Linked DNA regions of Oreochromis niloticus. The protein of the gene in region 1 purifies or fractionates together with the protein of each later gene. This does not show direct contact. Links are inferred from orthologs where the notes say so. Each region holds a gene or a part of one and is shown in the gene's direction. Other genes may lie near its edges.

Region 1 (3,759 bases):
ATAGCTTCTGATGCACTGTAGATGATGAAATCCACAAATCCTTTTTTTTTTTTTTTTTTTACATTTTACATTGACGATATTATGAATTGTTCCACCTTTCAAAGATTTGACCTCTCTGGGGAGCTTATTTTAGTGCCAGTCATGTTGCTGACCTCCTTCCAATCAGCCTAATTAGCTCTGAGGCATTCAAGCAGGAGCTTTTTAGAGCATTAGACAATTTTCACAGCTTTTTTCTCTCCACTTTTTTCCCCAAATGTGATGCTGGCCTTACATGATAGGAATATATTTCTAAAATGTTGACTGTGTTGCCTTAATTTTTGCATTAAGCCCAAATTGTCATTTCCCAGCATGTTTACCAGTTTGAGTCTGTGCATATCTTTGTTTCTGTTTGCTTTCAAAGGCAATAGTGAACATTATTTGCCTTTTGAATAATTACACTTAAGGAGAAATGTGTGTTTCCATTAACAGCACAAAGGCGAGATTCTCACCTGACCAAAGAACAAGAGAGTCGGCTGCCAGCTCACTGGCTGAAGAGCAAAGGAGCCCACACCACCATGGTGGATGCACTGTGGCGTCTGCGTGACCTGATGTTAAGAGACTCTCTGAACATCTGTCAGGCTCACAACCTGTAACCTGTTGGACTTACAAACCACTCTGCTCAGTCACTGCTCTTATCCTCAAGTCACGGAGTTTAGCTTGTAGACCCTAGAAGCAATATTTTATAGTGAATCATGAGCAATTTTATATTTATTAGCTAACATAATGAGCTGAACAGTTAATTGTGTGCTGCATTTCATTTTTTTTATACCATTTGGATGAATAGTTCTGCTTAACCTGTGATATTTGGCTTATTGGTGCAAATAAATTTGTCAATACCCCAATTAGACTGTGTCCTCTTTTTGTTGTTGATGAGGTTTTTTTTTAATGTGATTACCCTCATAACATGTTTGTGTTTTACTCCTTTGTGCTTCACAAGCCTCTCGATCCTGAATGATAATATTTGAGATCGTGGAAGTACTTCCTCCTAGTCGATGTCACTTCCTGCAGAGTGAAGCGAGATAGTACCATTCTCTTTAGTGTTTGCCCTGTCTTCCCAATGTCCACCTCCTCACCGCTCGCATTTCGATATCAAAATAACGCACTGTGATTCTCCAAACTGGCCATTAACAAAAGCAAACGGCCGTAAATCAGCGTGTCATGTGGAGTAACTAAAAACCGCACAGAAGGAGCGACGAGGTGAGCTTTACTTTGTGCTCAGACTTTGTCGGCGTTAGCTAGCTAGCGGTGACACCGGGTGCTCCCAGCCTCGATTTGAATTAAACAAGATGTTTCCTCCCCTTTTTTCTGATGTATTCATTTAATAAACAAATTTCAAGTGCTGTTGTCAGTGAGCTGTGGGCGTTGTCTTGCTGTTCTCAGCACCCGTTCAGTAACGGGGCTTGTTTTTGCAAAGATTGTCCTATCATGTCCACCCCTGCCATTCGTAGCGAATAAGCTAGTTAGCGAGCAAGTTTCTTCTGTAGAGCTTGTACATCCAGCCGGCGGCCTGATTTTAATTAGGAATTAGCTGCCAGTAGCTTGTGCTGCTCACAGCTAGTCAAATCATTGACGAATATACAGGTCCAGAAAGCCTACCAGACAGTAATCGTGGTTGTTTGCAAGCGGCTGTATCAGCTAACCACCTAGCCTCAGTTTTTCGTGTTGTAAGTCGAGCTAATGGTAAACATTTTTTCTTAAACAAATTAGTTATTAGTATTATTTTTGTATCTAATAATGCTTAGCATGAGATGCAGGTTACAGTCGTTGCATGTAAATGGTGGTTCTGCTCTATCACAGTTAGTGAAGGCTCCCAGGGCCCCTTTGACAGCACGGACCCTCCCAGCTGTGGTTTGAATGAGAACAAAGTGATTTCAGTTTTTATCAGCAGCATCTTTACTGTGAGATCAAGGCAGCGAAAATGCTGTTAATAAAACATTACTGTGCTGTATTATTATAGGCACTATAATAGGCACTACGGTGTTCCCTTGGTCACTTGGCAGATTATCACTTTTTGTGCCAGTGATTCCATGCGTTTTTGTTTCCCATGTTTCCAATCCTTTTTGGCCATTTAAAATACCTTTTAGTAACTATTTTTATATTTCTTGCAGTTTCTGGTGTCCTCTTGGCCAGATTACTCTTTGACAAAACAAAAATGGCTTTTAATGAAACTTTTTAACTGGTTAAAAATGGATACATAATAGCCATAAACTGATTCTACCTTGTGATAGGAATGTTGTTTGTGGCTCAAGATAACTTGATATCATTCATGAGGGATACATTTGACATATGTTTCACATAGTATAGGCCAACAAGTTATTTTTAGCAGTTTAAATACAGCCAATCACTTTTTGGCAAAGGCTGGAAATCAGTTTTTGGCACAACACTGTTCTTATAGGCTGATTGATAAAGTTATCTCCCCAATGTAGGCAAACTGGGTGAACTGTGCTGGGACCCGACAGATATCACTGTTTCTGTCCTGCTTTTCTTTAAATTGGCAAATTGTCTGTAGTGCTCAAATGAACACAAAATTTGTATTTAACTACCAGTCAATGTATTTAACAGTCAGTCAAATGTCTGCTACTCACAATGAAATGTATTTACACCCTTTTGGACACCTCTTAAACCACCGTTAAATGGGTTTCATATTGTTATGCAGATGATATCCGATTGTACATTTCTTTTTCTCCGCCTCACAATGTTCCAAAAATATCTATCCTTCATGACGTTAATGATGCCATAAAGCACTGCATGGCTGCTGATTAAATTTTAGTTATTACTGGAAAAACAGAAGTTGTTGTTTGTGCTAGTGGCAGCTCAATCAAATGTCAGAAATGTAGGCGTTATATTGGACCAATTTCTTAGTTTTGAAAAACACAGTAAGTCTTTACCCATTGAAAGCCTGCTAGAAGTAACCATTGAAGCTCTTCTGAACTGAGCAGTTTCTGTCATATTTCAAGCGTGCTTATAGAACAAAATGACTGTGTGTGTGTGGCAGAAGTTGGTGAGGGTGGTCTCTACCTGGGCAGCTACCGAAACTATTCTTAAGGCCCCAAGACCACATCTTTATTGATATATACAGAGATTCCAAACTTGTCATTAATGGTACAGGGAAAGTTGTCAAATGATGTCTTTATGGGGAAAAGCATTGTGCGATCCTGCTTTTTTTAATCTACAAAATATTGTGACACACATTTTGTTGTCTTAGTGGACTTGCCTCCCATTAAGTTCTTACTTAAGTTTAAGATCTTGGTGATCACTTTCAGAGATTTGCATTATCGAATGCCTGCTTACATTTGTGAACTCTTTCGTCCTTATATAACATGCAGATAATTCAAGTCTTTCTGCTCGACACCTATTGCCAGACTGAAAACTAATGGAGACTGTGCTTTCAAAGTTGCAGCTTCAAACTATGGAATGCACTACCATTACATTTGAGATCTGTGGACTGTATTGAAACATTAGTTTGAATCAATAGAAAACACATCCTTCTACATCTTGAATAAAAAGGAAAATTGTTTTGTACATAAGCCAGGATTTCTTCATTGCATTCCCGACTGATTGAATTTGCTAGAAAGAACATTTTGTTTTTGGCAATTGCAAAATGCAGAAAAATAAATAGTAAATTCACATAGTCCTGTTTAAGACCACTTTTTTAGTTTTTTTTTAGTGTAACTGATAATATTAGGTTGACTTAAGCTTAGTGTACAGCAGTGCTGATTG
Region 2 (3,759 bases), on another chromosome or scaffold:
TCGCCTCATTGTTCTGACACACAACACAAAACTATCCACTACACTACACACTAACTACACAAGAAAACACACTAATTACACACTCCAAACGTCACAAATCTCTCACTTCTTAAAACTTGCTCTCTCATTTTTCCGCTCTCTTTCTCTCCGTCACTCCTAAAACTTCCTCCCTCTTCCTAAACAACCAAATGCCATGTTTCTATATCATTTTTTGATTGGTCGACATTGTACATTTTTCCACAACACGAAAGGGGTGTTTTTTGTTTTGTTTTTTCTTTTTTGGTCATAAGCAGATAGTGCTTGCTAGCGCTGCCCTTAGAGGGTAAACGTGACCATAGTATTCAGGAAAAAACACCACGTATATGTTGTTTGTCATGACTCTTGTGTTACGTGGCCTATCAGCACAATTTAAAAACTGGTATATATCACCTCTTTGCTTTGTCATCTTGAAGTGGTCATGTGATTCAGGATTCAAGATTTTTTATTTTGCCATTTGCACACAGGACCAACAGTCCATGTACATTGGAATTCTTGTGCAGAGCTTTCCAAGTCTTACTACGACTACTATATTCTTTCTCAGTCAAACTGCAGCACTCATGGGATTGTTTGGCCCCCCTTAGCTCCAGGTGTTGTGCCAAAAAGTGATCGTCTGCCAGAAAGTGATTGCCGTCCGCGGGAGCGCCCGCAGCTACTTAAAGCTGTAGCGCCCAGACTACTTATGTAGACAGCTACTTCCATGCAACTGATATAAGGTGCGGTAAGATGAACACAGCTTCAGCCGTCTGTTTGTTGAAAAATAGTAACGCGACCGCACCGCATTTTCATGTTAGTAACGGGTACGGCGTTGTAAAGATAGAAATAGTAATTAGTTAGATTACTTGTTAATGAAAAAAGTAACGCTGTTACTTATAACGCCGTTATTCCCATCATTGGTGCGCACACACACACACACACACACACACACACACACACACAGTATATCGATTTTTCATTTAACCAGCGTACAAAATGAAACTGAAAATACTTTAAACATTCAGGCATTGTCTTTCTTAATGGGCCCGTGTTTTTGTGTTTCTAGATCTCTTAAACTGCTGACTTTGCTCCGAATTTGAAGCATGCGATTACACGATAATCACACTATTTGCAATTTTATATATTGCATAATGATAACTACAATTATATTTTAAACTATATGCATATTAGGTCCAAATCCGTCAGCAGAACAAGATTTTAGTAAGTAGACACTGTTCCAAAACTGTCACGGTTATGCAGTCTGATTCGTCTGGCTCTGACATCATAAAGGGGTGGTGAGAATGGACAGGTACGGTTTCCTTTACCCAATCATTTTACCCAACGCGTTTCTGAAGCGAAATTGACAGTTACTCTGGCTAATTGGAACGCGAGTGTTTCCTGTTACACTTTCCAACCAATTAGAATGGCAGTTGGGCGGACCTCCGAGTAGGAACATTCCACGGCACCTCATCTCATTCTGCCCAGTTAGATCGGCAACGGGAGCGGAAAGAGGAAAGCAGAGAGCCCGAAGGCAGTAGCCCCCACCACCGCCGGCCCAGGTTACCATCTAGCACCGGGAAATATAGCAAAGAGCCGCCGCCGGCTGAAGCCATTACCAACAAGTAACAATGAGCAGCGAGGCCGAGACACAGCAACAACCGCCGCAGCCTGCTGCCGATGCGGAGAGCCCATCCAGCCCGGCAGCCGCAGCTTCCGCGGGGGATAAGAAGGTCATCGGTAAGACTGCTGGAGCTAGTTAAGCTAACTAGATAGCTAACGTGTTTTACGGCACAGAGGCAATGCGCAAAAGTGGTGCTGCTAATGTTGTTAACTCGATCCACAGCTCAGTCTACCTTAAACTAAAATACATTCGTTAGAAACGGCCGTTGAGCCGCACAACGTTAGCACATGTTAAGTAATGGTAGGGAAATTTTTATTTTAGCCAACGGGACCCAGTATAGTTTTGGCTAAAATTGAATTATTTCATGGGCTATGTTCTATTCAGTGTGTTGGCGTTTTCTAACGAGAAGCTTTCTAGGAAAAGTTAAACTAATCTTCTTTTGATGTCTGAAAAACGCTAAACGTTTACGTGCTAGCGATACAGAATTAAACTATCGGTTGGAAGCCAGACAGTGCAAGCTTTTTTTTTTATATATATAGTTTTTATACATCGCTGCTTTAATAGCTAACACTTTGGCCTTCATATTAAATAATTTTAGACGACATGAGTATTAAAAAGGTATTAATGAGGTATTTTAGACTTTCAATCTTTCCTGTTCATCGGCCTCCTCGCGTCAAACGTACGCCATAGAATGCCGTGGTACCGGGTGGCCGTCACGTAAATGGTCGCTGAAGTGGTTTCTGGCCGTTATCGGATCCTGTGTATATACGCCAACGTCGGTGCTGATTTTAGGCAGACAGTTAATGGGAAATCATGTATTAAAGTAATAAAGTTAACTTTAATGCCGTATTTGTGGAACACCGAAATATCCACTGGCTTTACCGGTTACAAATTATGTCGAAATCAAGCTAGCGTTAGCGACTTGCCGTCCTTTGTTCGCACGAGTCTTGCTCCCTGGTGAAATATTAAAAAAAAAAAATCTATAACACTCGAAACTATGTTCAGACTTTTAACTGTTACAATTAGCAGCGAATTATATTTGGATTTGATCGGAAATTCACCAGAGCACAACTGTCAGCGGTCGACTATTTTCGGTGGAATTGATGAGGTCTCGTTAGGGCCTAGCAATCGACCGACGGTTGCTGGCTTGTTTGCGAAGCTATGTTAGCTTAGCCAGCTAACTTGAGCTATTTACATGGCTAAAGAGGCCATCCAAAATGTCCGCCGTGTATTCCACTGATTTCTTTCGCCATTTCGTTGGTTGTTAATTGAAACCAGTATAACCGTGGCATTTTTTCTAATTTTTTTTTTTTTTTACGTGCTAAGCATTTGGTCACAATAGAAGCTGTCCGATGTGTTATGTTCATTTCCGCTTGCTGGCAGTAATCCAAGCACATGGTTCAGACCTTCTCAGCTACATAGCTATGCTAACAAGCCAGCTGAGCTTGCTAACATATCCGGGCGCGATTACCACGTGTGAACGCTCAGTAGTGCGTCTAAAATGGGGCACTAGGTCTGCTGTAGTTAAGTCAATGTGTTTAGCTACAGCGGCCTGCTATGATGATGTTGAAATCTTTGATTTGGATGGCATCACAGTAGAAAGGGACGTTATAAATAGGGGTAATGAAGTCTTGAAATTCACACGAGAAGTAATCTAGTCGGTACTCATTCGTGGTACTCGTGCATGGTGTTCGTGACGGTTCATACCTCACACCAAATGCAGCTGGCACAAGACACTCCTAAGCGCCGGGATCTATAATAGGAATGACAGTTGGGAGTTATATTTAACTTCCACATCAAACGTGTCACTTTCTCATGGTCTGTTCTTATTTTACACTTTGTCATTATTAGAAGAATTATTAAATACAGACATGTATCTAAAATGATCATTAATACATGTTCATTTTTTATTTTTTTTAAAGCAACAAAAGTCTTGGGTACAGTCAAATGGTTCAACGTCAGGAATGGATATGGGTTTATCAACAGGTAAGACTTCGCCTATCCCTTCTTTCCAAAGACCCTCATAACAGCTGTGTGTGTGTGTGTGTGAGAAAGAACATTCCCAATCCTATTATGGCTATGATTTGCTTACAAAGCTGCCCAGATGAATTATCTACTTGTCTCCA

The links. Proteins that work in one complex are often made in the same cells at the same time.
Region 2: the proteins of stau1 (region 1) and ybx1 purify together in Homo sapiens (affinity purification with mass spectrometry; 3 studies listed by BioGRID and IntAct, with this or other methods). This does not show direct contact. The link is inferred for Oreochromis niloticus from reciprocal best matches to the Homo sapiens genes STAU1 and YBX1.

What each region holds. Positions count from the first base shown.
Region 1 is NC_031970.2:16,668,440-16,672,198, forward strand, and holds the start of stau1 (double-stranded RNA-binding protein Staufen homolog 1), read left to right. Parts: upstream 1-1,037; 5' UTR 1,038-1,236; intron 1,237-3,759. Other genes in the region: protein polybromo-1, read left to right, coding at 469-632. UniProt on the Homo sapiens protein: Binds double-stranded RNA (regardless of the sequence) and tubulin.
Region 2 is NC_031984.2:24,180,973-24,184,731, reverse strand, and holds the start of ybx1 (Y-box-binding protein 1), read left to right. Parts: upstream 1-1,472; 5' UTR 1,473-1,640; coding exon 1,641-1,749; intron 1,750-3,555; coding exon 3,556-3,619; intron 3,620-3,759. UniProt on the Homo sapiens protein: DNA- and RNA-binding protein involved in various processes, such as translational repression, RNA stabilization, mRNA splicing, DNA repair and transcription regulation.